7 linked regions of the Oryza sativa Japonica Group genome follow. The protein of the gene in region 7 binds, or shares a complex with, the protein of the main gene of each other region. Links are inferred from orthologs where the notes say so. Each region holds a gene or a part of one and is shown on either strand. Other genes may lie near its edges. The genes, in order: large ribosomal subunit protein uL4c; 50S ribosomal protein L24, chloroplastic; large ribosomal subunit protein bL21c; uncharacterized protein; large ribosomal subunit protein uL29c; large ribosomal subunit protein bL28c; large ribosomal subunit protein uL15c.

Region 1 (4,388 bases), about 2.5 Mb from region 7:
ACAAGAGGCACCGCTACAAAGGTACATCGCTGGCCTTTATTCTTTAAACTTCATTTTATTATTTAGAGTGAATTATTATTTAATGAGTGATGTTGCTCCATATCCTGTTTCTGATAGTCTTTACTTCTCTTCTGGTAATAATATTTGCTGTTCTCTGACTTTGTTACCAAATACGCTATGCAAATTTTATTGCTTGCAGGCACATTTGATGCGATCACAAAGATGATACGTTATGAAGGTTTGTCAGGGCTTTATAAAGGAATGAGCACAAAAATCGTACAAAGTGTTTTTGCTTCTGCTCTCCTTTTTATGATTAAGGAGGAACTGGTGAAGGGCGCTCGATTATTGGTAACCGGCAACACCAGCCTTGTTAAGAAGTTACCATCGAAGCCATTAAGATGATCTAGGTTGTACAAGAGTTAGTTCCCTACTTATACCACAATTGTTTCCATAAAGCGATGGACAGAGTTGCCAAGCGCCCCTGTTAGGAGATATCAAGTTATCTGTGAGACTCTGATCGACTGTAGGCTCTCCAAAAAAAGGAGATTAAAGATGTAGTACAATTACCACTGTGATTCTTGTAGGAACCAATAATGATGGTATATATTGGGTAGGCTATCTCTGTTGCTCGTGTAAAGTATACTGTTATGGAAGATTGAAACACTAGAAAATAAGTTGGCAATGAGAATCGCAAGCGCTAGTCATCTGTTCAGATTACTTGAGTTTCTTTAGCTTGTTTGTTAGAGCTAACCGAGAAGAGGATCGCAATCGTGAAAACTTCGCAAGTGTTCAGAACAAAAGTAGAAGTAGAAAATTTGGAGTTCCTGTCCATTTTTAGCATAACTGTGTCTATGGTGCGCCCCATCTGTCAATGTGGTTCTCAGGCAACTGTTCTGATACACAAGTGCTAATGAGCAATCTGACCCGACAAAAAGGAAATGAAATTTAATTTGATTATTTCAAACTCATTTTGGTGAAACTAAGCCTCCTTCTTTACTAAGATGCAAATTCTTCCTAACACATTTTTTAAACTGCTAAATGGTATGTTTCATATGAATTTTTTACATAAAAATATTTTAAAATATCAAATAAATCAATTTCAAGTTTAAAATAATCAAAACTTAATTAAACATAAGCTAATGGGCCGTTTTCATTTTGCTTTCCTATTTTATTTCATCTTTATTAGAAAAAAAACACCATCTAATAGACTAATACTGCCTCGAGGGTTTTTCTTTAACAATATCTAAGTTTTTTTAATGAAGAGATGCTTCTTCTAAAATCCAAACACATAGTAGTGTGTGTATCTTACTGGTCTGGCGCGACCGACTAAGCTGACACTCGCGAGAGTGTGGCCGGTCCGGTCGGGTGGGGGTGGATAAGGAGATAGAGAAGCGGCCGCTCCGCAGCTGCAGCGGCAAAGCCTCCCCGTCGTCCAGCCCACGCAGCGCACCGCAGCGAGCGAAGCCGCCGCAATGGCCGCCTCCTCCGTGGCCTCGACTCTCCTCCTCTCGCTCTCCTCTTCCTCCTCGCCCTTCCTCTCCCCCACCTCGGTCTCCTTCCTCCCATCCGCCGCCGCCGCCGCCTCCTCCTCCCCGCGCGTCGCCGTCGCCGCCGGCAAGCAGAAGGCGGCTATCTCCGTCCTCCGCGCCCTTCGCGCCGAGGCGGCCACCCTCCCGGTTCTCTCCTTCACCGGGGAGAAGGTCGGGGAGGTCGCCCTCGACCTCAAGTCGGCGCCGCCCTCCACCGCGCGCGCCGTCGTGCACCGCGCCATCATCACCGACCGCCAGAACAAGCGCCGCGGCACGGCCTCCACGCTCACCCGCGGCGAGGTCAGGGGAGGCGGCAGGAAGCCCTACCAGCAGAAGAAGACGGGGAAGGCGCGGCGCGGGTCGATGCGCACGCCGCTCCGCCCCGGCGGCGGCGTCATATTCGGGCCCAAGCCCCGCGACTGGTCCATCAAGATCAACCGCAAGGAGAAGCGCCTCGCCATCTCCACCGCGCTCGCCAGTGCCGCCGTGGCCGACGATGCATTCGTCGTGGAGGAGTTCGACGAGGAGTTCGCCGCGGGTCCCAAGACCAGGGACTTCGTGGCCGCGCTTCAGCGGTGGGGGCTCGACCCCAAGGAGAAGGCCATGTTCTTCGCCACGGATTTTGCAGACAATGTGCGGCTCAGCGGAAGGAACATTGGCTCCCTCAAGATGCTAACCCCCAGGACTCTCAACCTATACGACATCCTCGATGCCCGCAAGCTCTTCTTCACCCCGGCCGCCATTAACTATCTCAACTCCAGGTATGGTGCCACCGTTTTTGATGAATATGAGGATGATACCAATGGCGAGGATGATGGTGAGGAGGAAGCAGAGGAGTTGCAAGAAGGAGAAGGGAGCGCAGAGGAGGCTGCTCAAGGTACATAGCTATGCATGAACAATTTCCAGGTGTCTTTTTATTGTTTCTATGGTGGGCATGTGCGAAATGACTTTGAGTAACTAATGCTATCCAGTGATCCTTTATTTTACATGTTTTAGTTGATAGTTAGGAGAGAAAATGCTCTGCTTTAATGGCATGTACAGTAGTTTTTTTTTTTATCTTTTAACTCTTAGCTATGCTCTGTTGTAAATATCATGATCGATGCTATACGTATGCTGATAAAGATCCTGACATGCGTTTTAAGGGTAAAAACAAGATAACGTGGCAAAGAAACAGAAAATGTAGCCAGTTTTGTCTTATGAATACCATCTTAATTATTATGGAGAAATTCTTTGTGGCCTTGTAGACTTATGGAGCTAATTTTTTTTTCGAAATAGTTCTCTTATCCTTACCAGCATGCAAAAGGAAAAATGCTTACCATGCTAATGTACATCGTATGGTTTTTTTTCCTCCTGAAAGATCCAATAAGTCCATGACATAATTCAATGGTCTATTTTAGAAGCATGCTTAGAGATCCACCTACCCCTATGCTAGCTCTCAGTAGACCCACTGAGTCTGTATTTTACTCGTTATTTTGCACCTCCTTAGGGTTTTTATTCAGAGCTCATGAGCAACTCAACAATTTGCGAATAGAAAATGACTTCACCTAATGGTGGTTAAATTTTCGGCTGAAGGTGGATTAAGTCCTAAGCACTAAACTAAAAAATAAGAAGAAATGAGACTGCATGGAATCCATGAACACCACTGAACCAGAACTCTGGGGATACTGGTACACTCCTTATAATAGTGTCACAATCTGCTGTGCCACACAGCTACCCCTATCACCTATCACTTGAAACATTGTCAGCCATTGGCACTGTCATCATTCACTTCAAAGATGTTCTGTTAGACCTTAGAACCATCTTAATAAAGTAGTTAGCTGTGAATATGCTGGTTTAAGTTGCTTTAGAGGTAAAACCTAGTTAAACACATGTTTTCTCCATCACTCAAGCACTTCCTTTTCGTAAATACTATGCATAGCTACAGGACTAAGTTATTATTAATTGACATTCAGTTCTCTGTTACATTTTGGTGCTGCATATTATAACTTTCTCTTATTTTGAGCATTTCTCAGGAACTTCTTTTTGTATGACTTTCAGATGAGGCTGCAGAGACTGAGGCTGATAGCAATTCCTAGGGAAGGAGGTGTAGATCGCGTGTTTTTCGTTTGTTGGTCTGGTAATTGCTTCCCTGATGCAGAAGCTTTTTGGCTTACTTTTGTTGTAAGTTTATAATGTTTTTTTTTCACTGATGCAGTATATTAGATCTTCAAACTGCACATATATTTTCAAATACAATGTCGTGTCAACCACTGCATATTTTTCTTCCAATTTTATACAGAAAGTGCTTCCCAATCTTGCTTCAAAAAACCAGTGTTGACCTGCTGGTTACCACTAATTTTCTACTCCCTCCGTTTCATATTATAAATCATTTTGACTTTTTTTTCCTAGTCAAACTTATTTAATTTTGACCAAAATGATAGAAAAAATAATAACATTTTTAACACAAAACAAACATGTTATCAAAAATATATTCAAAGTTACATTTAATAAAACTAGTTTGGTATTATAAATGTTACCATTTTTTTTCTATATACTTAGTCAAACGTACAGAAGTTTGACTCCGAAAAAAGTCAAAACGACTTATAATATAAAATGGAGAGAGTAACATCTTGAGTAGGGGTATGATTACAAAATCTTGTCTCCTTAAATTGTTGAATTGTTCCTTGTTATGACTAACTTTTTCGCTGGGTGAGCTCTAACAAGTAACAACTAACAAGTCTTTTCAGAGGACTTGCTGCATTTTACAATGTGGAAAGTAGCCTAGCTCAACTTGGACATGGAGCACTGGAGCAGCATAGCCCGGGTTAGATGCTGATCTTGAAACTCTAAGCCCAGATCAGTCGTAAACAACAGACCATT
Region 2 (4,425 bases), on a different chromosome or scaffold from region 7:
TAGTGATGAATTTATCCTGAGATTATAGCACAGTCACACACTTATCCCATTGGAAAGAAAACGGTTTGCTTGCACGGCAGAGCCTTTCAAGAATTGAATAGCTCCAGTGATAGCCACACGAAAGGGACAGGAGCGATTTGCTGATGGTGACCAGTGGAACAGGCAAGAATGTAGTGCACGTGTTATCCATGAAATCCCTCACATGTACACCTAAGGTTTATCACTAAATACAGTAACACACAAATACACAATGCATATAAACGTAGACTTTTGAGTCAACAGTTTTGTTTATCACGAAATATAGTAACTAACACTCAAATACACAATGCATAGAAACGTAGACTTCTGAGTCAACCGTGTTAGAATAGCTTGGCCAAAGATGCTCGATGATTCGAAATCTTCGGTCAAAAAGCTTGGAATTCATAGTATAACGACCACTGTCACTATGCTATTTGGTTTTAGGTAGAGAAACCAAGAGTTCTTCGATTCGAAATTAGGTTGGTTCCTCAACCTCCTCACATGGATCGGAAGGCTTCGATTCGAAGTCGTCCGATTCACATCGGTGCCATCTACCTACCCATCCCCATTCCCCACCGCCCACGCCCAACCCTATCAAATGAAACGCGAGATTGCAACCCCCCAAAGAGAAGAAAACGGCAGCGGAAATGGCGACGTCCCGATCCCCCACGCGGCGTGATGGGGAAGAACTCCTCAGGCGTACGCGCATCGGCAGCGTCGTCACCGCGAAAGCGCCCCCCAAAAGAGAGAGGAAATGGGTCCCAGAAAAGCGCAAAAGGGACGGAACTTGGGGGGTTGCTTGCCTCCGCAACTGTCGCTTGGCTTGCGCGCGTCGCCGGCGACGTCGAAGCCGCCGGAATCCGGGAGGCGCCACGCCTGGGCGCCCCCGCCGAAGCAGCATCTCGCGGCGCGTGGCGTGGTGATGATGCGTGTGGAGACGAAGCCACGCAACGCAACGAGGAAGACGACGAGCGTATGCTGGGCTGGGCCTTATCCGAAAACGGGTGTCGGCCCATATCAACCCAGGACGTTCGGCCCACGTTACTTGACCACAAACGGGATTGCGGACGACGAGCGGCCCACGACATTTGGGCCTTAACCGGATTGCTGACGTGCGTGATAGTAAGTCTATTTTGCCTCCCTCATGTTCTCTGCGAGTCAGCCTGCCACGTCAACAGGAACCACCCTACAAACCATCTAAGGGTTGATCTGCTACGGTTTTCGCTTATTCGAATCGTTTATTAGCAAATAAAAATTTATTTATGAGTAAAATGTTTATATATGTCCATAATAACTTAAAGCAAATGTTGTAAAATATAAGCATTTTAAAAAAACAAAAAAGCAAATTCAAAACTAAGTTCTCAAATTCAAATTTTGGCTCATAAATATAAGCATAACCAAACAATAAGACCGATTTTCCTCCATTTTGCGGTTGAGGGAGGTAATTCAATCAGGAGCAGAGATGAGAAATGTACAATAGATTTTATCTGTGTAGGTGCGACCTGTTCTTGTTGGGTCGAGACGGGATTGCGGCTTACGTGAGGCCCGCTATATTTGAGCCTGAACGGGATCGCGGCTGACTTGGGCCGTAAGGTCCGTTGTAGTTGGGCTGGATTACGATAGGCCTTTCATTAGGCCTTTATGAGTCTTACAAGTGGGCCAATCCATTCGGCCTAGAGGCCCATTTGTCATGTAGAAAAGCGCTCGCCATTATCCTGTCCGCGAGCACACGAAGGCGTTCGTTATCCTCTGCTGCTTCTCTGCGGTTTGAGCGAGCGAGGGAGGAAGAGGAGGGGAGGAGACGAAGATGGCCGGGGTGGCGGCGTTGCAGGGCGCGATGGCGTCCCTCTCCATCTCTGCGCCGGGGGCGGCGAGCACCAGCAGCTTCTGGGGCCACCCGCTCTCCACCTTCGCCGCCGCGCCGGCTGGGGTTTGTGCCGACTCCCAACCCTGATTCTCATTTTTCGCATTCCTTTATGTTTGCTCTGCTCTTATGATTCGCTGGAAAAGTAGAAATGCCAGCTTGCACTGAGATTTAGGATTTTAGAGCTCACCAACAGCGTGGCATTGCAATGGTGATGTCTACATCGCCTCACTGTACTGTTGTTGCCTTCAGGAGTTCAGGCTCAGGACCTCAACTAGCCAACAACCAACGTTGTGTCAAAATTTTGTGGTATATTTTTTTTAGAGAAAAGGTCTCAAGGATTTTGTGGTATAGTTGAACCTAGTTGGCTAGTATAAGGAGGGTTTATATGAATTAATGAATGCTTGAAATCTCAAGTTTGAGTATATCAACTGAGTGAATTCAGAAGTTAGAAATTGTGTTGTCTACCATGGGATGTGGCCTGTTATGTTTCAGTTTAAACTTGAATATTATTTTTTTCCTATGGTGGTATAAGCGATGGATACCCAATATTCAGCCTTTCAAGCAGAGGATTATTTTTCTGAAAGATGTGCCCTCTAGTGAGACAGACCATTTCTTGTTCTAACCTGCTGTATAGATCACATTTCGCTGGCTAGAAACAATTTTGCCTTTGAACTTTAAATTACTCAACAGTAGAAATTTCACAGAAGACTTCCATGGGAAAATGATGGAAACTCATTTCACTCGGGGATAGCCTGTAGCAAATGATTGGCACACTCGGTATACTTATCAGACTGAACTTGTTCTATCTTTTGTATATTCTTTTTGGCGTTCCTTAGCTCTTCTAGATAGTCTACTGCACTTCGTCCTCAGAATGAGACTCACTCACGACTAATTACTTACCTGGAAAGTGGTGATGAGAGAAAATAAGGCCGAATAATTGCTCTTGAATGGAGTGACTGAGCTATATATGGCACTTATATGATGAACTGTACTAAAATCTGCACTTATATGAAGAAACTCGTACTAAAAGATCATATGATTATCCTAGATATTCTTGCCTAAGAAACATCGTGAGCATGATTCATGTCATATCTCAAAAGCAGCTGATTATTACATTTTATGTCATTTTCATAAGAAACTCTGACAAGATATGCATAAATTTTTATATGCAGGTTAAATTTATGATCAAGACATGCCCAATTCAAATGAGGGTAAGTTTCAATTCTTTTTTGGTCTGCAGCTTGCTATTTACTCAAATGTCTGAAATTTCCCTTTTTCCAATGCAGCTTAAGCGATGGGAGAGGAAGAAGTGTAAACCAAACAGTCTTCCTGTCCTGCACAAGATGCATGTTAGGATTGGCGATACAGTACAAGTCATTGCAGGCCGTGAGAAAGGTAAAGTTGGAGAAGTTACGCGGCTTTTTAAGCACAACAGCACTGTAATAGTGAAGGACTTGAACTTGAAGTCCAAGCACAAGAAAGGAACAGAAGATGAACCGGGTGAAATCGTCATGGTCAGCATTGTTTCTCTTGAAACTTCTTTCTGTGCTGCTTCTAGCTAGTGTCGTATATATAGTTTCAGATGCCTGATCGTTAACCTATGGTTGTTGGTGTTTTCTTTGATCAGATTGAAGGCCCCATTCACAGCTCAAATGTGATGCTCTACTCAAAGGAAAAGAATGTGGCGAGTAGGGTTGGACACAAATTCCTTGAGGATGGAACGAAGGTTCGGTACCTGGTCAAGACTGGTGAAATAATTGACAGTGCTGAGAATTGGGTCAAGGTGTTCAAGGAAGGAAGTTCGGAGTGATCATGGTAGCATGGGAGTCCTGCACATTTTCTGAACTGCACTTTTTGTATGCCCAAATGAGTTGATGCTTTTCTAGATTCAGATTTCAGAGTCTTGTAAATTTCTATACAGTTGCCAACATTTTTTTGTATCCAATGACATGCTTGGCTTGTTAACCAGCTACTAGAATGGTTCAGCTACATTCGCTCATACAAATGATTTTGTAATGTTGTTGCTGTCCCCTGTCCTGAGCTATTATTCGCAACCATTGACTAATTTGGTCCATTTCCATATAGAAATATAGATGAGATGTACATATAAAACCCATGAATGATTGATAAGTTCTTTTTTTTAAGGAGTAGTAAGATAGGAGTATCATAAAAGAAACAAGCTTAGCAATTTTTTTTTTGAAACAACCCGCAGCGATGTTTCTATTGATATAGTAGGAAAAAAATACAAATATATAGTGCTAAAAGATAGCGATGTTTCTATTGATATAGTAGGAAAAAAAATACAAATATATAGTGCTAAAAGATTATAGTCAGAAAAAGGAAAAAACAAATCTGATTTGCCATTGATAACATGAAAGCTCAAGAGCTCGTGCTGACGGCTGAGAATCAACATAGCAGATATGGCACGCAAATATCAAATCCAGGTGATCGTAAGCAAACCACAGTTTTCTGCTTGCGTTTTGCTCCGCGAGGGAAACCTGACACCTGTCCAGATCCCATGAGACGAAGATGCAACCCAT
Region 3 (4,421 bases), on a different chromosome or scaffold from region 7:
TTAATATCTTACATATATAGGCTAATCATGGTTGTGAAGGTGATTGCTATTTAACTTCTATAGCTGATTTATTATTATTATTATTATTATTATTATTATTATTATTATTATTATTATTATTATTATTATTATTATTATTTTGGTAGCATAATTTGGAAAAAGTTATGGTTGCGAATGATAAAAGGCCATAAATTATGGCATAATAAACATCTTCTATATAAGCTATGGTATTTAATCGATTCAGCATCGATTGTCATGGCCTTTAAAGTGATATTCTTTTATGTTGGAAATCGTACTGCACAGTTTCTTAATAATTTAGAAAACTTATCATTGCAAATAATAAAAAGGTTGTCCTTTGTACTCTTGTTTTTAAAGACAAACTTAGATAACAGTCTCACAGTTTATCAATGTTGTTTGATAGCCTTTGATGCGCTTGCATGGGCTGCAGCATATAGCAACAGGCCAAGCAATAGTGCGCTATACCTTGCATTGGCTACGGCTACACAGTCGAAGCAATGCCATAGAAATGTGACTACTGAACATGTCAATGTTCATTGTTGATAGAACTGGGAGTACGGAAGATAGTCTCTTTAAGATGGCTAGGTCAAAATATAAGCAAAGGAGGACTCAACAAGATTTGAAAAAAAAAACAACAATCAGGTCCTCCTCTGTCTTATGCCCACATTGGTGGTGACTGGTGACATACTTGATGGCAGTGGGTGCTACATGGACACGGCGAGCTACAGAAGATGTTGCCTTGACGCATTCCCAAATAGGGTTTCACAACAATAGAGGTTAAGGCCATGACAATTCATGAAAAGGTTCATCAATACCATAGATGAGTACATCCAGAGCTAAATGAGATTGTTCTTGGAGCAGAACCATCAAGGTCGACAACCTAATCGTTGATATTGGTGATAGAGACAAAGATTTCATGGCAAGTTGCATAAAAAAGCACCAAGAAGCTTACCTTATTAGGGCCTCCATAGCCTAAGGTTGAGGAATCCAAGCATATAGCAAACAAAACTCAACTGCTTCTTGAAGGTTTGCCACCAATAAAGAGGAAGAAAACTATCATCCTTGCGAAAAGCCTGCTGGAGAAAAGAAAGATAACTTGCCTAACTTCCCTTAACTAGGTCTAGCTTTCTCCTAACTCACGGTGATAGAGAATTACCCGGTGTTTTAGAGGGATACCACTAGAGAAGAAACTTCGATTGCCTTCTCCATGAAACCTAGGACTAGAAGGCCAACATCGCCGACCTTCACGCTCAAACTAAAAGAAAAACCCAACTAAATTGATTGACCTACAAAGAGAGAGTTTGTCGGACTTCTCTCCCTCACCTCGCCGGCGGCAAGGTCACCCGAGCCTGTGAGGAAGAGGGGTCGAGGAGGCGTAGTAGTTCAGTTTGGCTCTTTCGTCCGAGAGTTCACGAGAGTTCTCATCACTCGTGTTAATTCGCATATTCTTTATGGTCTAATCAACACATTCGATCCAACTCTTTTATAATCTTTAACTGATTAAATCAAACGATTCTAAACTTTAGAAAGGAGAAACAAAATGAGTACGTGCAGTATCGCTAAAAAACTAGTAGGGCATAGTTTCATGTTTTTCATGGGTATCTAATCTGAGCCGTTGATCTCCAATCGAACGGCTCAGGGTAACCTCCCTATCCACAATATTATCCCTCTTCTTTCTTTCCGATACGATAGCCCACACTCTCATCCACACTGCTCTTCCCCCCCGCGCGCCGGCCATGGCCACCGCGACGCTGCCCCTCCGCCTCCTCGCCTCCAAAACCCTAGCCTTCCCCTCCGCCCCGTCCCTCCCGGCCTCGCGATGCTCCCTCCCCGTCGCCGCGTCCGCGCCCCGCCGCTGCTGGCGGCTCCTCGCTTCCGCCGAGGAGCCGGCGCCCGCACCCGTGGAGGCCGAGGCCGAGGCGGAGGTGGTAGAGGAGGAGGAGGTTGAAGAAGAGGAGGCTGCGGTGCCGGAGCCTGTGGAGGCGCAGATCGCAGCCGCGGGCGCCGGGAAGGACGCCGACATCTTCGCCGTTGTCATGGTGGGGCTAGCTTGCCCTTGCCGCCAATATTTCAGATTTAGTCCTGCTCGGCTCACTGCAAACAAACAAAAAAAGAATCACATTTGTTCATGCTACATTACCTCGAATTCTTTAAATAATATCATTACACAGGCATTTGGCGCTAGTTGCGTTGCTTCTTGCGGTGAAGTGAGCATTTGATTTCAGGCTTGTGTTGCTTACTCTATGCTGCATAAGAAGCTTAGGATTCACGCGCCAATAGGAATGCGCGCACGCCGATTATTAGTATGTACAGGACACACCATTAAGAAAACGGCGCAGAGAATTACAGTGTTTTCGAATGATACAATACTAGTCTTACAGAGAATTGTTCGGATGCATTTCTGAAATATGCAGGAGTGCATCTGAGGAGGGTTTCTCTGTGTTTTGTTTTGTATGAGCGCTGTGAATAATAACGAGGGAGCTATTTTGATTATTTTTCTTCTGTCGCAGATTGGGTCGAGACAGTACATTGTGATGCCTGGAAGGTATATATACACGCAGAGGCTGAAAGGCGCCAATGTCAATGATCAGGTCTGGTGCTTCCACTTTAGAGGATGCAGGAGGATACTTGTTACACCCTAACTAGAAATTTGGCCTATTTTTGCTAGTTAGTTGGTTTGTATTAATCCATAAATTTAAAAGGTATATGATGCTGAGGTGGCTTCTAGATAAGGTGATTGTAAATTAGGAAAAGGCAAATATATAGTATTGGTTATTTGGTTATTATTCTTTTTCATCCATGAGATGCAATAACAAACTTCAAAACAACGAGGAAGGTTGTACATTCTGAAATTATGGAAAGTGGTAGTGACCTACTTCATTTTAGAAGTAAAAGAGTCACTTCCCTGTAATTATAACACTTCAATCCCAGTTCCTGATTTCACATAAATATCTTATTCAGAACTTTTCGATAAGTTTTGTGTAGCCTGCATATATTAGCTTCGTTCCTTTTCTAACTAAAATTACTCCTCTGATGCAAAGCTTCCAATCCCATAGGACCCATACGTTGGCTTATGTTGCTGGCATTTTTAGTATTGTTTTCCCAGAAATTCTCACTTCTGGATAATGCTGATGTGCAGATAATATTAAACAAGGTATTACTGGTATCAACTAGAGACAAGGCTTACATTGGCATGCCAGTGGTGACCAATGCTGCTGTTCATGCAGTGGTTGAGGAACAGGTATGTCCTCTGTATGTTGTCGGGTTAATCATGGATATTCAAAATTACTTGACCCTGATGTCTCCCCAATATTTTTATATCAGGGACGGGATGATAAAGTGATAGTCTTCAAATATAAGAAGAAGAAGAAGTACCAGAGGAAACTTGGTCACAGACAGGTAAGTTTTTCCAATTACCTTCTTCAAGAAAGGTAGAATTTTATTGATAAATACTGATTCAGTTTTTACAGCGAAGCAATTAGAGTTCTTTTAGATTAAAAATCTCTGTTGTTTTGCAGCCAAACACAAGGTTAAGAATTACCGGCATAAGTGGATACGAGGACTTCCCTGCTGACCCGATACTTGAGTATGTTCCAGCTTAAGAGCAATTGTAAGTTCTGTAGTTACAAACAACTGGTAGTACATTAGAATACGAGTGCTACCTTTTCTTGTCTGGAAGAACAGTTTTTGAACAAAATTTGCTTTGTTCATGTGTTCGAGTGCTGCCAGTCATCCAGTTGTTCCATCCTTTGTTTATTCCACCATCTGTTTTGTTCATTCTGATATTGTGTATCCTAGCCAACTGTATTATTTTCACTGTGCTTAAAAAAAGAGAGAGCATTTTACCACGATACGGATGTTTTAGCTTTGGTTTGTGTAACTTTATACAGTTTTTGTGACTACTGATGCTAATTTCACTGTTTTTGGCATCTGTACCAATGGTGCTTAGTTTATTGAACGGGCTATGTCCTAATATTTTGGGATCAGTTACAGTACTATGTTCAATGCAGTTCTGGTCATGATTTATTCGAGTGTTCTAAGAGAAGTTCTGCAAGGCCATATATAAGGTGTTTGTGTGCAACCTTGTACTGCTTAGGGCACATAAGCAGCTGGTTAGGACTTAGGCCATATAAGCATCTACAAGGCAGGTGGCTGCATGGATTCTGCTTACCACTTTTTAGAACCTTGGTTCATGAAGAACTGCAGAAGTTTTGCCCTTTTGAATCCTTACCAAAGATAACCAGTGGCATAAGGCGTATAATCTTTTGGCAAACTATGACTGTTTCAGTAGTCCTTCACCCCTAATTGCATATTACAGTTCTGAATTATAGTGGTTTTCAGACATCTTTTGCCTAATTGAAACCCTTGTTGAAGTAAAAATTTGACCACTGTAAAGGTTCATA
Region 4 (3,007 bases), on a different chromosome or scaffold from region 7:
GTCGGCCACAGCTTATGGGGGCATTATCAGCAAGGAAGACAATGGGGGAGAAGAAGAGGTGGCGGGTCTCCATCCCAATATAACTGTAGATTCATTGGCCGCGGCACGTGGGGCTCCACCGGCAAGGAAGATGACGGTTCTAGACGCCGCTCCCCTCCAGTGCGGGGATTAGGCTTAGCGCTCCCCTCCATCTTTCACCGGCGGCGTGGGGTCTGTGACCGCCACTCCCCTCCAACGCATGGGTTGGGCTCGGCGCTTCCCTCCACCTTCCACCAGCGATGCAGGGTTCATGACCGTCACTCCCCTCCAGCTCCACCTCCCTTCATTGGGTATTAAGCTTGCAATCGTCACCGGATTGGCAACGCCCTCATCGAAGAAGCTCTCTCCGTGCAGTCGTCGACGAGCCTGAGAACCGCCAGATTTTCGCCTGAGTTGAAGAAGAAACTGATCTGCGTTGTGCGGTGTTGAGCTAACAGAGGTATTGACAGTTGTTGTAACGGAGTGGCATAGCTCAAATTTTGCAAAATTTCAGTGGCATGAACCTGATATCGTGAATAGTAATGGCAAATTGGTAAACTTGCAATAACATGATCCAATTAACCCATATCTTTGGGGAGGCTAATGCGCACGTACGTGCTAGCAATTTAGCTGGCGCCCGCGTCAGTTGGCCCCCTCCCCTGTTCCCGCGTGCTTTTCTTTCTCACTTTTTTTTTACGATTTTGGCGCCTGGATCCGGGTGCGTTTTTCTTTTTTTTCGCCATTTCTTTCTATTTTTTTAATCTTTCGCACACCCCTTTACAAATGTAGAGTTGAAAGTTTTAAATTTTGACTTCAAAGTTTTTAAATTTGACTTGAAAGTTTTCAAATCTGAGTTGAAAGTTTTAAATTTGAGTTGAATTTTTTCAATTTGAGATGAAAAGTTGAAAGTTTTCAAAATTTGACTTTAAAAAAAATTCAAATTTCGAGTTGAAAGTTTTCAAATATGGGTTGAAAGTTTTCAGAATTTGACTTGATGTATAAATTTCTTTTCAATCTGTTACTTTAAAAAATTTTCGGAAAAAACAAATCTTATCTTGATTATCTAAAACTAATGTATTTTTTTACACGCTAAAACTAATGGACTAGTTACTACATGCGCTATGGAAAGAATCTAACCGCGCCCGTGCGGTGCCGTGCATACGCGTGGGCCAGAAGTGCGCGCCCGCGGCGCGTATGCGAGAATTAGGAATTCTGCATATTTTTACCACGTAAACGAAATAATTGCATACATTTTTTTTTCTGGGCCAGTAAGTAACCAACGTGTATCAGCCCAAACCAAACAACAATTAAGAAAGCCCAGCCAAAGCGAGGCAGGCGAGCGGCCACCCGCACGGCACCAAAGCCTCAAAAATTGAGAATCATCAACGCTTGAGAGGATAACACACACCAGAAACCGATAAGGGACACGAAACAGGGGAATCCGGAGCAAAGTGCGACGCGAGCGCGCGAGGAAGCAGCAGCCATGGCGCTCTCCCTCTCCACCTCCTTCCTCCCGACCCAAGCCGCCGCGGCGGCCACGAGGACCACCCTCCGCTCCCTCGTCCCCTCCCAGGTACGATTCCTTCGATGCCCCCACAACCGCGTAGGCGTAGCGCCGCCGAATCGGAGATTCGGAGGAGGTGATTGGAACTGGGCGGTGGTGTGACGATTTGCCGTGCAGAGGATGCGGTGCTCGATGCGGAAGAAGGGGCTGCACCCGGAGATCTACGAGGACGCGAAGGTGTACTGCAACGGGGAGCTGGTGCTGGTGACGGGGGGAACCAAGCCGGAGTACACGGTGGACGTGTGGTCGGGGAACCACCCCTACTACGTCGGCGACACGTCGGCGATGGTCGTCATGGACAGCCAGATCGAGAAGTTCCGCAAGAAGTGGGGCCACATCAAGGAGTACTGGCCCGAGGACCAGTGGAGGGAGATGCACCCCGACGGCGACCCGGAGTTCGACCCGGAGGAGGAGGGATCCGCCGGCGCCAGCTGAGCCCCCGCTTCGCCTCTCGCCTCCGCCGCCGGCCTCGCCGGTGCGGTTTCTCTTGGTTGATTTTGGGAATTGCGTAAAATGGATTAGCTCCTCTTGCTTGCGCCTCTCGTTACACGTGCATTCGCATTGCTCTCTAGGTGTTCGATCGGTGTTCTCAGTGGATACGTGTGATCATATTTGTGGTATCGAACTGTTTGTTCTCTGCCTGTACTCTTTGACATCGATATAAAATGGAGATATTGCAATTTGCACACTCTGTAATTGGACATTTCCAACTCGTTGAATCGATGCATGCTAGTGTTGGTCTGGGCTCTCGAATAGAATCGTTGCATACATCAGTTTGTCCGGTCTTCAGAATAAGCAGTAAGGGGCTGTTAGTTCACGTACTAACATTGCTAAGGTTTACCATGTTTTCTCGCTAAAGTTGAGGCCATCAAAATCCAAGCCACGCTCTAGCCAATAAAGGCTATGTTTAGTTCCCAAAAACTTTTCGCAAAAACATCACATCGAATCTTTGGACACATATACGAAGCATTAAATATAGATAAAAAAAATTAATTACACAGTTTACATGTAAATCGCGAGACGAATCTTTTGAGTCTAATTAGTCTATGATTAGCCATAAGTGCTACGGTAACCCACATGTGCTAATGACGGCTTGATTAGGCTCAAAAGATTCGTCTCGTGGTTTCCAGTAACCCACATGTGCTAATGATGGCTTAATTAGGCTCAAAAGATTCGTCTCGTGGTTTCTAGGCGAGTTATGAAATTAGTTTTTTTTTATTCGTGTCCGAAAACCCCTTCTAACATCTGGTCAAACGTCCGATGTGACACCCAAAAATTTTCATTTCACCAACTAAACAGGCCCAAAATAAAAGCATGCCACACTTTTTAGAGTCACTTACATGTGAAATCTAGATTATAAAAGAGGAATCTTGCCACATTTGTGGAACCCAAATAAACACTCACCTAACATGATTAAACTTGTCT
Region 5 (4,077 bases), on a different chromosome or scaffold from region 7:
TATGATTACAACAAATATAACCATATAAGCCAATATTGAGGCACAAAAAATAATTTCATATGAATTGCATATCATTTCATAGAAATTATCTGTCAGCATATACCGCCATACCAACTCGATAAAACCACAGCCCAATCATTCTCATCCTCATCCATCGTATTCATCTGAGCAATCCTGCGTCCATTTTGGGAAAAAAATAAATCCGGTCCTGGTACAGAGTGCACGTCATATCGACATAGCCGTTGTATTTGTATGCACCCCTGATACGGCTCATCATGTAGATGCACAATCTTTTACGCCTTAATGCTCACAGTGAATGAACGAACTTCTCGTAGAAAACAAATTGAGTAAAGCAGTTATAACTTGATATATTGCTGTGTTCACAGAGAAAGCAACATGAAAAAAAAAGAGAGTAAAATGGTAGTAGGACTTAATATACCATTACGCATTTACGCTCACAGTGAAAGATCAAATCTCTCTCTCTCAAAAAAGGAGTGCAACAGTCAGACTTGATGCACAATCCATATGCTTCTTGATTCTGCATACCTTTCTGTCATTGTGTATTCAGCTTGTTAATTTCTGCTTTACATCGTTGAAGTGTTTCTGGTTGCTAAATAGGACAAATTTTATACTTGTAGATATACAAATACACTTAATTGAACTTGATTAACATAATTCTGTACAGAGCACAGCTTAAGCAGGCAAAGGTGAACAGAGATGTAGTTAACATGCCTTGGTGCTGATGTGTGAAGGTGTTCCAGATGCTTGGTCTTCTGCTACCCTCAGCTGCACCACCCTCGTACTGTAAGTCAAGAAAGGCCAACTCTTCAGATTTCAGACAAAGACAAAACATGTTACAATGTGACAGTTAATTTTTGGCAACTCATTCATTCCTTGGTGCCAATCTGAGCATTATTCAGTAGCATCGTGTAACACGCAAAAATCAACGAAAACAACAAAAGAAATTCCTTCTTTTTTCTTAATTACAGGTGGAATTAATCAGCTGTGGTGTGAAACTGTGAACCCGTAGGGAAGCAGGGGAGGGAGCTCCCGCTCCTGCATGACGGCATCCGGCGGCGGTAGCACGGTCCTCAGCCACGCCCTTTGTTGCACGGCCAGTGGCCTCCGTCCGAGATCCCCTTGGTGCCGCGACTTGGGGAGAGAGGCGGTCGGCGAATCAAAAGGCAGAAGCGAAGACGGACGTAGCGATGCATGTGATTTCCTCCTCCCCATCCCCAAGCACGGCAACCGAACTCATCGCCCCATCCAGCGACGAGGTGGATCTATGCCACCGCCGCCGAACTTGAGGGGAAAGACGGCACAGAACGGCGCGCTGGCGCGTGGGAGGGTCAGCCTAGGGCGTCGGAGGGGCGGAGGTGGAGCTGGAGCGCGGGGAGGAGGAAGAGGCGGCGACATCGGCGTAGGAGGACAAGTCGACCTCCGACGAATGAGGCGGAGGAAGCGGGGGCGGGGGCGCCGGCGGAGAGAAGGGCATTGCAGGTTTGGTATAACTTTTTCAAAAAGACCCCTAAAACCTCACATATTACAACGAGGTCCACCGCAGCTATTCCACACCGTTGATCTGTGATCTGACGGCTGCGAGAGGGAGACGAAAGCTGGAATCGTGCAGCGCCACGTGGAGGGGTTATTTGCACGCGAATCCGCGTAGATTTCGATATTTAGAGATGTGACATGCATATTAAGCAAGTGAAAGCCGTCCGATAATGCTTGAAGATTCGTGCCCCGAGTGGCTAATCAACATGACCAGATAAACCCCCTTATCCACGAACCCCGACCGGCAGAGAGCGCAGACGCGAGCGCAGCGCAAAAGATGGCGACGATGTCCCTCGCCGCGGCGTCCCCCCTCGCCTCGACTCCCCGTGGGCTCGCCGTCTCCACTCCCCGCACGGCCTTCCTCGGCCTCCTGACCGGAGGGGCGTCGCTGGCGCCGTTCCCGGGACTGGCGGCGGCGGCGGCGCCGCCGCGGCTGCCAGCGGGGAGGGGCGACGCGGCCGTGGCCAGGATGGCGAAGAGGGAGCAGGAGCTGGAGGAGATTCGGGCCATGCCGACGGAGAAGATCGAGGAGGAAGTGGTGGACCTGAAGGGGGAGCTCTTCATGCTCCGCCTCAAGCGCTCCGCGCGCCAGGAGTTCAAATCCAGCGAGTTCGGCCGCATGCGCAAGAGGGTATGTCTCTTACTCCATGGGGTACAGATATACCACAACTGCTAATTCCATTGCGAAAGTTTAGCATTTACTCCTGGCCAAAATGCGTTCAACCTACGAGTGGAAATTCCACCTTCTACTTCCAAATGGGTGTGGAGTGGTCGCATGTTCTGCTCAGTGTGTTCTGTTTACAAGGCCCTTTTGTTCAACCTCTAGTACTGAGTTGATTATGTTCAGATATATTGAGTTGATTTCAGGTTCAGAATAGTGGAATAACTTACCAATTTGTTGGTGGAATTTTGCCTGATTTTTATCAGTTGCATATTGGCCCATACTGAATTTACAGATGATTTGGGTTAATGCTTGGACAATTTCAGTCTCAGAAGCAATTTTTTTTTACTTAATTTGATTAGAAAGTCATGCTGACATCCATTTACGTATTCTTACATAGTATCTACTTTGGGTTTGTAGTATTGTTTATTGGATTTTAGTGCATAGAGTACTACATGAAGAATGATATTGCAATGCAATGTGTATCTGAAGAGCTTTTATACTGTTCTTGGGAAAGTAGTGTTAAATTAACCTTCAGTGGACCAAAATTTAAAATGGAACAAAACTTTGTTCTGAGGACGTCAAAATGCAGATAGTACACAAGAACTAATTCTACGGTCAGTTATGTGATACCTTGTTCTTCTTGAGGGCTTCTGATAAGTCAATTGTTATGAATTATCACTTGCTTTGGAGTTCAGGTCTCCACCTCTGCTCAGGGACAGCACAGGACAAATAGTTAGCAGCAGAGTAATGCATACTTATATCTGCCTCGATCAATGCTTCTTGCCTTTTAGGAGGAGGATATCAGATTTTTTTTTCCTGTTGTTTTTCTCACCCTGCTCATCTTGCTTCAATAGCAGCTTTCTACTATCTAAATTTAGCATTGACTTGGGTTGTCATCTTCGCATCAGATTGCTCGTATGCTGACTGTCAAAAGAGAACGGGAAATTGAACAAGGAATCAACAAGAGATTGTCTAGGAAGCTTGACAGGAAATGGAAGCAAAGCATCGTGGTTAGACCACCACCATCTCTAAGGGAGAACAAGGAGGAATAGAGAGCCACAAAAGCAGACAGTCTGTAGAAGTCATTTCATGCATGTCTTGAAGGAAGGTTTCTTTCTCCCTGTGGTTTCATTCCTTATAATGGATTGATATGTAATTCACATTAACTGATTTCCAAGTCCTTGCTGTCAAAACCAAAAGTTCTATTACCAATTCCATTTGTGTAAATTTCAGTTTATTCAAAATGTGTTGTCCATATATGCACTTATATTACTGATATATGAAACTGTGCTTAACGAGTGTATGCTATACACTTGTTGAAACTCAAACTGCCTATTCAAATTCACCTGTCACAAAGTTGTGGGTACGTACATACTATAAGAGGCAGATATGCAGAGTTCTAAAGAAGTGTCTCTGGAATACGGAGTAACAAAAACAAGAGAATTAGGCCATGTCTATAATAGTTCGCTTGGAATTTTGGTGCCCTGCTTTGCTCCAAACTCAAGTTCACTGTTTTATCAAACGTTTCAAAACTGTACAACTGTCTCCAAGCCCACGTTCTTGTGGCTTGTTGTGTCGGTCACCTAGATTTATGTTATTGTTCAACACTGATTTATGCTTAAACTAGCTCTGTTAGACTGTCCTAAAGCATGTTGGGCTTTCCCCTTCTACTCTAGCTTTAGAGTATGCTGCAGGTATCTCTGCACAGAGCTAGGGAGCCATCCTAGATCCATCATCAGTTTCATAAGCAAGCCCAGGTGGCTTGGCCCTTCAGCCAAAACTTGTTATTCTGATCTCTTCAACAGATCTTAACTTGAGATGTAGAGAGGCTTCACTCACAAGGTAATCTTTTAGTCAAC
Region 6 (4,054 bases), on a different chromosome or scaffold from region 7:
CCTTTGACTTAAGTTAGAGGAGCCTTGTCGGTCCACCACACACCAACACTGGTAGGACAGACAACAATCCTCCACACCGCCTGCGAGAGGGTCCTCTTCCTGTCTTCCTGGCCATCAAGGAGGAGAGAATCAACTCCACATCTTCTCGGGTGACCTCTTTGATAGCTCCTTCGGCGAGGGATGGGTGGGCGGAAGTCAAGGAGGCTGTTCTTGAAGACGGAAAAGAGAAGTAGGGGCCGGCTCGACCTCGACCCGGTGTTGCGATGTCGTCGCGAGCATGCCGGTCTGTCTCCTCCGAGAGCTCCACTGTCTCCACTTCAAAAGCCATCAACGAGGAGGAGCCCAAGAGCGATGTGGAGGAGTATGAGGAAGAGGAGGAGGTGGACCAGTGGGTAGAAGTGTGCTATCTGGAATGGAGGTTGATGCGAAGGGGATCTGGAAGTGGGAGCCAGACTTTTGCTACTGTCCCCATCTTGGATGCTCGCGAGAATGTGTGGGAGTTGGTGGTGTGCGACACGACATTGTCCCTCTAGTTCACTTGCTTCTTCCCCAACACCTCCATCAACAACGTCACCCTCCGCATGCGTACTCATCTTCATCACTACCGCTTGAGCTCAAGTTTTGCCGCCACCACCGCAGCACCCCCTTCCCATCCCCGCGGCTCCTCACACTCCTGACACGACTGGGCTTTCCTGCAGATAGCTCATGAGCTCGAACTCGCCGGCTCCCTCACCTACCTCCTCTTCTCCCCCGTCGTGGACCACTGGAGCCACCTCATCACTGACCTCCCACCACCATTACCACCTCCCGTGGATGGGCTCGCTGGCCGCCGCCCCTCTCCCCACTGGAGGAGATGGGAAAGAGAGGGGGGAGGTGGAGAGATGGGGAAGAGAGGGGACAGGTTGGGAGGAAGTCCACTTTAAATTTTAATTTTCTGATTGGTATGCCACGTTAGTGAAACCAGTCATCCATAATACCATGAGACTGACTTGGAAGGTTTTTCCAAAATGGGGGGGAGGGGGTGAAGATTGCTGGTATTGCGGTTTAGAGATACCATTAAACTCGACGTAAAATAAGGGATAATAAGTGGACTTATCACTGTGAGTAATACTAGTAGTAATGAGAGTTGGGCTTGGGCCGCCCTTTTCTACAGTACTACGATATATGGGCCCCTGCTCACACAGTACATAGAGAGACGATTATGATAGGATAGGAGAAACAAGTTGTACGCCACGCCGCAGCCGCACAAGACTTGATCCTCTTCTTCTTCTTCTTCTTCCTCCAGGCTCCAGTGGCGATGGCGACCATGCTCTGCTCCTTCACGCCCGCCACCAGGGCTCCGCTCCTTCGCACTTCCTCCTCCTCTTCCTCTCTCGGCTTCGCCACCTCGCAACTCGCCGGCCTCAGCCTCGGCCTCTCCGCCGCAGCCACCACCGCGCCCTCCGCCGCCGGTCCCAAGCTCCACCCCATCCTCGCGCGTACGTCATCTGCCTCCTCCTTCTTCTCTCTGTTTCGAGCCATCCACCCGCAGATTGACATTACAGTTTTATATTACACCACCAATGTCATTTCTGCTACTATTAAAGTTGTTACTTTATCCTTCGTTTTTTTTTTGCGCTATCCAATACTCCACTGTATATATACTACTACTAGAACCAGATGACCTATTTGTTAGTAATTGATTGCTTTAATCTCTCGAAAATAGACTAGCTGTCAATCTATTACCATAAACTCAGATCTTTCTTTGTATTTTTAAGAGAATGGAAGCTTTATTGAATTTGGTCGTTCTTTGCACCATGTCAGTGCACAACCAATAGATACCACACAACAAGAAAAACAGAACTAACTCAACGATTAAGGACCTAATATCGGAAGACTAGGTTGCCGCTCATGTGCCTGGGTAAAAAAAAAAAACCTTGACCACATGCTCCAAATGAAGACAAGCCGAACAGACAAAACCCCTGTAATCTGGCTTCTTGAGAATAATCCATGATCGGAGCCAATGTGTGATCAAGAAAATAACCTGCAAAGAAGAAGAAACAATTTTCCTGTCAAAAATCACATCATTCCTTTATAGCCAAATAGCCCAACAAGTCAACTCCTAGTAGAAAAGGAGGCCTAGACTCTTTGTTTTGTCGCAAACTCCATTGTCCAGACATATGTGACACACTCCTAGGTGAAGAAATGTTCGATGCAATCTGGATTAAAGACCAAACTGATCGGGCTAGCCGACATTCAAAAAATAAATGCTTTATCGTTTCTTCCTTGTGGTAAAAACAATAGGTCTTATTCCCTTTTCAATTCCGTTTAGCCAGGTTATCTTTTGTTAACACCACCCCTCGACATAAATACGATAGAAACATTTTCACTTTGAGAGGGATTTTTAACTTCTAGATATGTTTGTTAAAATTGGGAACTCTTGTATGTGCAAGATAATGAGTTTTAACCAAGAATCTTCCATCAGGTGTTAGATTCAATTTAAAGTCATCTTTCTCGTGTGACAACACTATATTAGCAATGCGTGGAAAGAGATGATTCCACGCCACTAACTTAAGGCCAATAATATCCTTGCGCCAAGTGAAATTTAACAGGGTTGTTTAGAATATATTTGAAATGGTTGCTTGTTTATGTCTGACAACCATCTCTTTGTTTCTCTAAGACATAAGCAGAGCTTCTTCTTCTTACTAGTGTATATAAGAAAGAAGGGGGAAAAGAAAAAATATAACTATTCTGGCCATTTCAAGTTATAGTTTTAGTTTTATTCTAAGTCAACCATTCATAACTTTAACTATCAATTTCTTATTTAAAAAGATAATTGTGACTTATCAATTTCTAGAAATTTGTAAAGTTTAACAACATGTTAATTGTACTATATATTATGAAGGTACTTTTCATGATGCATATATAAACACATAAATATTATGATATTAAATGTTTGGCTTATGATAAAGTTAAGGACAAGTAATTTAAAAGGGTGAGATTATACTTTATCTTTTGTTTGCATGATGCCACAAATTATAGAAACTAGTAGTAGTAGGAACAAGATGGCGTGTATGGTGATGTTGTTGTATGATGTGGGGGTGGGTGACTCAGGCCGGATATGCCCCTTCACGGACAAGAAGACCAACAGGGCGAACAAGGTGTCCTTCTCAAACCACAAGACGAAGAAGCAGCAGTTTGTGAACCTGCAGTACAAGAAGCTGTGGTGGGAGGAAGGCAAGCGCTTCGTCAAGCTGCGTCTCTCCACCAAAGCCCTCAAGACCATCGAGAAGCATGGCCTCGACGCCGTCGCCAAAAAGGCCGGCATCGACCTCAACAAGAAATAAATCAAATCATCATCATCATGATGCATACATACATGTATTCTCTCATCAATTGCCGCTGTGCTGAATAGACCAGAGCTGTATGTAGTCCATTATTAAATCCATTCATCTCGATGATGCAATTTATTGTAGAGTACTACAGTATGCATTCATCGGTGGTGGTGGCCGGCTTCGTTTCCTTAAATTTCCTTTTATCCCGTGTTGCTGCTGCAAGTCCGGCTCGAATTGTTTGCTACTAGTGTTTCATTTCGGTCGAGTTCCTAATTAATACTGTATGTTGGTTACGAATTATAAGATGGATGGATGTAACTTGAGCAGCATCAGGTCGTGCAGTTGGCATCTTGCGCTTTTCACTTTAGAGTGTCTTCCAGTCTAAGCTGAAATTGATTAATTATTTTATTTCCTTTTTGGCTATTGATATTTAATAAGAGCCTAAATGAAAGAATTAACTTGTACAAAATTGAAAAGCTGTTTGTTTTGTACAAAAGGAACTCCTACGCCAATATTGATTGTTCTACTGCTATGGCCTGTCTGGTTTGAGATAGCTGAAATTGATGGATTGTTTTATTCCCCTTTTTAGCTATTGATATTTAATAAGAGCCTAAATGAATAATGAACCCCTACAAAATTAGAAGGTTGTTTTTTTTCTCTCTAAAAATGTAGAGACGAGAAAAAGGTGTTGAGTTGTAGACGTGGAGCAACCCGGCAGCTCCACACACGCGCAACCTCTG
Region 7 (4,324 bases):
CAAAAGGTAACATTTGGCTTAAAAAGGAGGTTCCAGTTATGATAACATTTTAAGACCATAAAACAGTCTATTTTGTTGAAATGCCTTGAGATGACTCTTTACTGCAGATATACATTTTAAACTCTTAGTATGCCTACTCATACAAATTGATGATACTGCTAATTTTTGTTGGTAGCTTTATCTGTAGAAGCACCTGATTGCAAAGTTGAAGAATCAGCCCCTGGAAGTTGGCACAATGCGCATGCATCAATTAAGGGTGGAAAAGGCAATAAGCATGAACTGGAAGAAACCTCTGCTGGGTTTCCTCCTGATGACTCTATTGGTATTTCTGGAATGGAGTCCTCTTCAAGAGACACAGCTAATAAGAAAATCAAATTGTCAAAGGATATTGGTTTGGACCGTCTAACCGCCACAACTGTTCAGGAAGCACCGAAGCGTCCAAGAACAACCTCACTAAAGAAGAATCAAGAGTGCAGCAGACAGAAGAAAAGAAAAATAAGCAAGTGGGATGGTTCCTACTCTGTAATCATTGAATGGTTGAATTACTATTCTGTGGATGAGTCAGATGAAGATGAGGTGCCTTTGATAAATAAAAGAACCGAAAGAAGAAAGCGGCAGAAGTTACTGAAACTTGTTCTTGCTAGGGAATCCAATAGTGGCAGTGAAGGTGCTAGTTCTACATCTTTTGTAGAAAATGGCAGAAATTCTAGCAGTGCTGGCTCTTACCCCCTAAGCCAGGGGGACAATGACAAATCTGAAAATGTGCAAGCTAATCGAGTTGATGTAAGTTCATTGCCAGATCATCCTGTAAGTAGTCATGTAGCAGCAGAGGATCAAGCTGGCCAAGCTGCATCGTCACCATTGAACTCACCAACTAGAGGTATCGTTGTTGACATTTCAGATGGTTGATGGCCAGAGTTCCATTAGTTTCTTTCAGCTGAGGCCTGGACGTACAATTATCCAGACTACAGTTGTAACACTTACTTTTAATTCCTTGCACCTGTCTACTGCTAGACATGCAACGGGACGATCCTGTGAAGCATGTGTCTTGTACATGTCTTCGTTTCTTCCTTTCTCATTTCACCTTTTCTTTTCTTAGCATAGATCAGTTCAGTATACTTAACTCTGTCAGGTTGTGTGACCCATCAGTTTCTCTCCGTACTAGTCTCTTGAAGAACAGCAAAGATCAGGTTTTCTCTTTGGTTGATTGTGTGTGGAAGATCAATCCAAATATGTTCATTTCTTAAGAAGATAAATTCAGTTCTATTCTATTCATAAACTTTTGTAAACCTTCTAAAATCCTTTAATAAACAAGAAGCAAAGTGAGTAATACGAAACCATTCACAAAATAGAGGGAAAAGAGGCCCAAATTCCCAAGGGTTAATTGGATTCATGGCCCATTTATCCAACCGTCTTATCTCCCTCGTGTCCTTCCCCAATTATCCCCTTCTATCCACCCACACCAGCAAGCCGCTCAGGCGCGCTCTCCGCTCCACCGCCATGGCGTCCATCACCCTCCTCTCCCTCGCTCCCGCGGCCACATTGCTCCACCTCCCGGCCTCCACTTCGCTCTCCACCTCCTTCGTCGCCGCTCCAGGCCCCATCTCCGGCCGCCGGTCCGTCGTCCTCCGCGCCCGCCCGCGCCGCTGCGTCACGGTCGTGTGCAGCGCCGCGGCGGCCGAGGCCGCGGAGGCGGAGCCCGCGGAGAAGTTCCGGCTCGACAACCTGGGCCCGCAGAAGGGGTCGCGGCGGCGGCCGAAGCGGAAGGGGCGCGGTATCGCGGCGGGGCAGGGCGCGAGCTGCGGGTTCGGCATGCGTGGACAGAAGTCGCGCTCGGGGCCAGGCGTCCGGCGCGGGTTCGAGGGAGGGCAGATGCCGCTCTACCGCCGCATCCCCAAGCTGCGCGGCATTGCTGGAGGTGAGTCTCTTCGAGCTTCCCGCTTCCCCTCCTCGCCCTCAATCGAAGCCTCACACATTCAAATGCACTGGAAATTGAGTGGGAACACGCTAGCACCTTCCATTTGGAATGCAGAAATGCTGGGATTGAGAAGTGACCCGTTGCAAGTTCTACCTTGCGATTGCAGGAATGCATATTGGCTTGCCGAAGTATGTGCCGTTCAATTTGAGAGACTTGGCGCGTGGCGGGTTCAAGGATGGTGACGAGATATCATTGGAATCCTTGAAATCGAGGGGTTTGATTAATCCGTCTGGCAGGGAGAGAAAGCTTCCTCTGAAGGTACACTATACGACGATTATCCTTCTTTTTTTTAAGTCGGTTCTGTAGATGACCATGTTTTACTGAAAACTGAAATATGAATGCCTTGCATTTGATCTTTGCCAGTGAATTCATCAAGTTCACCAGCAGTCTTGGGTAATCCTTTAGTTGTTGATGTTGTGGATTGAATGGCTGGCCTTTTTTTTTCTTGTAGTTCTCAAATGTTGCTGTGTTGGTCTGTCCTTAGCAGCAATTACCAAGTTGAGTATTCGAAGTCTCAAAGTTGTGTGTCGGGATCAATTTTCTTAGCTCGTGTTGGACAAACACGGTATGATTTGACGAGTGTTTCTATTGGCTACTCAAGGATCTAGAACGTATGAGTTATGATGAACCCACACATGGTGTAGGCCTGCATATGAGCATATCTGTCAGGCATAAACATGAAGTGGTATCAAGATCCCAACAAAACCATGTGCTCTTACATGTACCACTGCATGTCTGCATCACTCCCAACATACCCAAAATATTTACTGTTTGTCTCCACTCTTAGTTGGCGGATTGCTGGAGTAGATGCATTAGTGTGCTACTGGGTTGCCCCTTATAGTGGGTAGTGGTGTGGCGCTTGATCACTGATGTGACAAAGACTTCTCCAAGGGTGGAACTTAATGCACCTTGAATAGCATAATTGTTCAACTTTTATTGTTCTTTCTGGTCCTATTTCATTTGATTGATTTTTTCTATACTCTAGGCTCCTAGCTATGTGGTACATATAAGGTAAAACCCACAGGGCTAAAACAGGTATCAAGACCTAAGTCATAATGTGGGGAGCTATCAACTTTATCCTTATGATAGGCTTTTTCCTTCTTGACATCTGATTCTGATGTTCAGCAGATGGCGTTCCTTTCATCTTTGTTTGAGTACAATGATACTGCAATGTTGCTGTTGTTATTGTATCTTTTATCATGCGGGTAGTATTAGTATGCTAACTTTTGAAAACCTATCTGTAGATTTTAGGAGATGGTGATGTATCAGTCAAGTTGAATATCAAGGCTGGGGCATTCTCTGCTTCAGCCAAGGAGAAGCTCGAGGCAGCTGGTTGTACTTTAAGTCTGGTACCAAAGCGGAAGAAATGGCTACCACAATCTTATCTGAAGAACCAAGCTCGTGCAGAAGAATACTTTAGCAAGAAAAATGGTGGTGCTGGTGAATCTGATGAAGCATCTGCATAGAATTCATATACACTGTACTTCTCCTTTACCCTTTTCTTTAACATATACTTATTTCTCTTACCTTGTTCCAAAAGTTCCACGTTCAACGAATTTTGAATCCGTGCGATATGCAAGCATTTTTTTTTGTGTGTTTCCTGTTTAAATGGAGAAAATTCCTTCTATACCCCTGAAAGTTTAGCCAATCCCTTCTACGCCTCCGAGTTTTGTCCACTCCTTTGTATGCCCCTGAATTTTGGTTTTGATCCCTTTCATACCCATACCGTTAGTTGAATGTTTAATTCTAATGAAAAGGACCTTTTTGCCCTTAGACATGAAGGAAATCTAAAAATTGTAGACTAGCTATATTGTTGGAAGTGTATAATTTTGTTATATAAGACTATCATATTCATGACTTTATTGTACAAGGTATTATTCATGGCAAAGTTTATTTTTACCTAATGACATAAAAACTAATATTTATTTACCTACTAAAAGAGTATATGTAGCATTTGTTTATGGTAGTTCAACATATTTTCTCCTGTTGTATATATTATATAGGAATGCTTTCCAAAACTATGTTTATCATTTAAAAAAATGCTACATGTACTTTTTAAATATATATTAAATTTTTTATGTACATAAAACTTATGAATATGATAATCACACAACAAATTTTATACTTCCAACAATATAGTTTACAAATTTCTACATATTCCTCACATATTGAAGGGTAAAACTGACTTTTATATACCTATTAAACGGTCAATTAACGGCAAGGGTATGGAAGAGATCCAAATCAAAATTCAGAGGTATACAAGGGAGTGAAGGAAATTCATGGGCATAGAAGGGATCGGCTAAAATTTCAGGGGTATGGAAGGAATTTTCTCTCTTTTAAATGTGA

What was found.
Region 1: large ribosomal subunit protein uL15c (region 7) and large ribosomal subunit protein uL4c share a complex: the UniProt entries of both Arabidopsis thaliana proteins name them as parts of the 50S ribosomal subunit. The link is inferred for Oryza sativa Japonica Group from reciprocal best matches to the Arabidopsis thaliana genes RPL15 and RPL4.
Region 2: large ribosomal subunit protein uL15c (region 7) and 50S ribosomal protein L24, chloroplastic share a complex: the UniProt entries of both Arabidopsis thaliana proteins name them as parts of the 50S ribosomal subunit. The link is inferred for Oryza sativa Japonica Group from reciprocal best matches to the Arabidopsis thaliana genes RPL15 and RPL24.
Region 3: large ribosomal subunit protein uL15c (region 7) and large ribosomal subunit protein bL21c share a complex: the UniProt entries of both Arabidopsis thaliana proteins name them as parts of the 50S ribosomal subunit. The link is inferred for Oryza sativa Japonica Group from reciprocal best matches to the Arabidopsis thaliana genes RPL15 and RPL21C.
Region 4: large ribosomal subunit protein uL15c (region 7) and uncharacterized protein share a complex: the UniProt entries of both Arabidopsis thaliana proteins name them as parts of the 50S ribosomal subunit. The link is inferred for Oryza sativa Japonica Group from reciprocal best matches to the Arabidopsis thaliana genes RPL15 and emb2184.
Region 5: large ribosomal subunit protein uL15c (region 7) and large ribosomal subunit protein uL29c share a complex: the UniProt entries of both Arabidopsis thaliana proteins name them as parts of the 50S ribosomal subunit. The link is inferred for Oryza sativa Japonica Group from reciprocal best matches to the Arabidopsis thaliana genes RPL15 and AT5G65220.
Region 6: large ribosomal subunit protein uL15c (region 7) and large ribosomal subunit protein bL28c share a complex: the UniProt entries of both Arabidopsis thaliana proteins name them as parts of the 50S ribosomal subunit. The link is inferred for Oryza sativa Japonica Group from reciprocal best matches to the Arabidopsis thaliana genes RPL15 and PRPL28.

What each region holds. Positions count from the first base shown.
Region 1 is NC_089037.1:8,802,393-8,806,780, forward strand, and holds large ribosomal subunit protein uL4c, read left to right. Parts: upstream 1-1,404; 5' UTR 1,405-1,472; coding exon 1,473-2,406; intron 2,407-3,566; coding exon 3,567-3,604; 3' UTR 3,605-3,821; downstream 3,822-4,388. Other genes in the region: peroxisomal nicotinamide adenine dinucleotide carrier, read left to right, coding at 1-21, 200-402. UniProt on the Arabidopsis thaliana protein: This protein binds directly and specifically to 23S rRNA. May play a role in plastid transcriptional regulation.
Region 2 is NC_089040.1:29,338,653-29,343,077, reverse strand, and holds 50S ribosomal protein L24, chloroplastic, read left to right. Parts: upstream 1-1,745; 5' UTR 1,746-1,825; coding exon 1,826-1,948; intron 1,949-3,057; coding exon 3,058-3,096; intron 3,097-3,171; coding exon 3,172-3,399; intron 3,400-3,512; coding exon 3,513-3,695; 3' UTR 3,696-3,917; downstream 3,918-4,425. UniProt on the Arabidopsis thaliana protein: One of two assembly initiator proteins, it binds directly to the 5'-end of the 23S rRNA, where it nucleates assembly of the 50S subunit. Required for optimal plastid performance in terms of photosynthesis and growth.
Region 3 is NC_089036.1:9,030,802-9,035,222, reverse strand, and holds large ribosomal subunit protein bL21c, read left to right. Parts: upstream 1-1,708; 5' UTR 1,709-1,754; coding exon 1,755-2,057; intron 2,058-2,528; coding exon 2,529-2,609; intron 2,610-3,157; coding exon 3,158-3,259; intron 3,260-3,342; coding exon 3,343-3,417; intron 3,418-3,536; coding exon 3,537-3,620; 3' UTR 3,621-3,866; downstream 3,867-4,421. UniProt on the Arabidopsis thaliana protein: This protein binds to 23S ribosomal RNA in the presence of protein L20.
Region 4 is NC_089035.1:25,929,267-25,932,273, reverse strand, and holds uncharacterized protein, read left to right. Parts: upstream 1-1,417; 5' UTR 1,418-1,501; coding exon 1,502-1,591; intron 1,592-1,699; coding exon 1,700-2,017; 3' UTR 2,018-2,278; downstream 2,279-3,007. UniProt on the Arabidopsis thaliana protein: Binds the 23S rRNA.
Region 5 is NC_089036.1:32,213,256-32,217,332, forward strand, and holds large ribosomal subunit protein uL29c, read left to right. Parts: upstream 1-1,800; 5' UTR 1,801-1,831; coding exon 1,832-2,185; intron 2,186-3,126; coding exon 3,127-3,270; 3' UTR 3,271-3,546; downstream 3,547-4,077.
Region 6 is NC_089039.1:104,682-108,735, reverse strand, and holds large ribosomal subunit protein bL28c, read left to right. Parts: upstream 1-1,254; 5' UTR 1,255-1,297; coding exon 1,298-1,478; intron 1,479-3,093; coding exon 3,094-3,326; 3' UTR 3,327-3,643; downstream 3,644-4,054.
Region 7 is NC_089037.1:6,341,525-6,345,848, forward strand, and holds the start of large ribosomal subunit protein uL15c, read left to right. Parts: upstream 1-1,441; 5' UTR 1,442-1,500; coding exon 1,501-1,918; intron 1,919-2,084; coding exon 2,085-2,236; intron 2,237-3,222; coding exon 3,223-3,444; 3' UTR 3,445-3,458; exon of another isoform or gene 3,459-3,560; intron 3,561-4,200; exon of another isoform or gene 4,201-4,324. Other genes in the region: uncharacterized protein, read left to right, coding at 1-6, 176-909.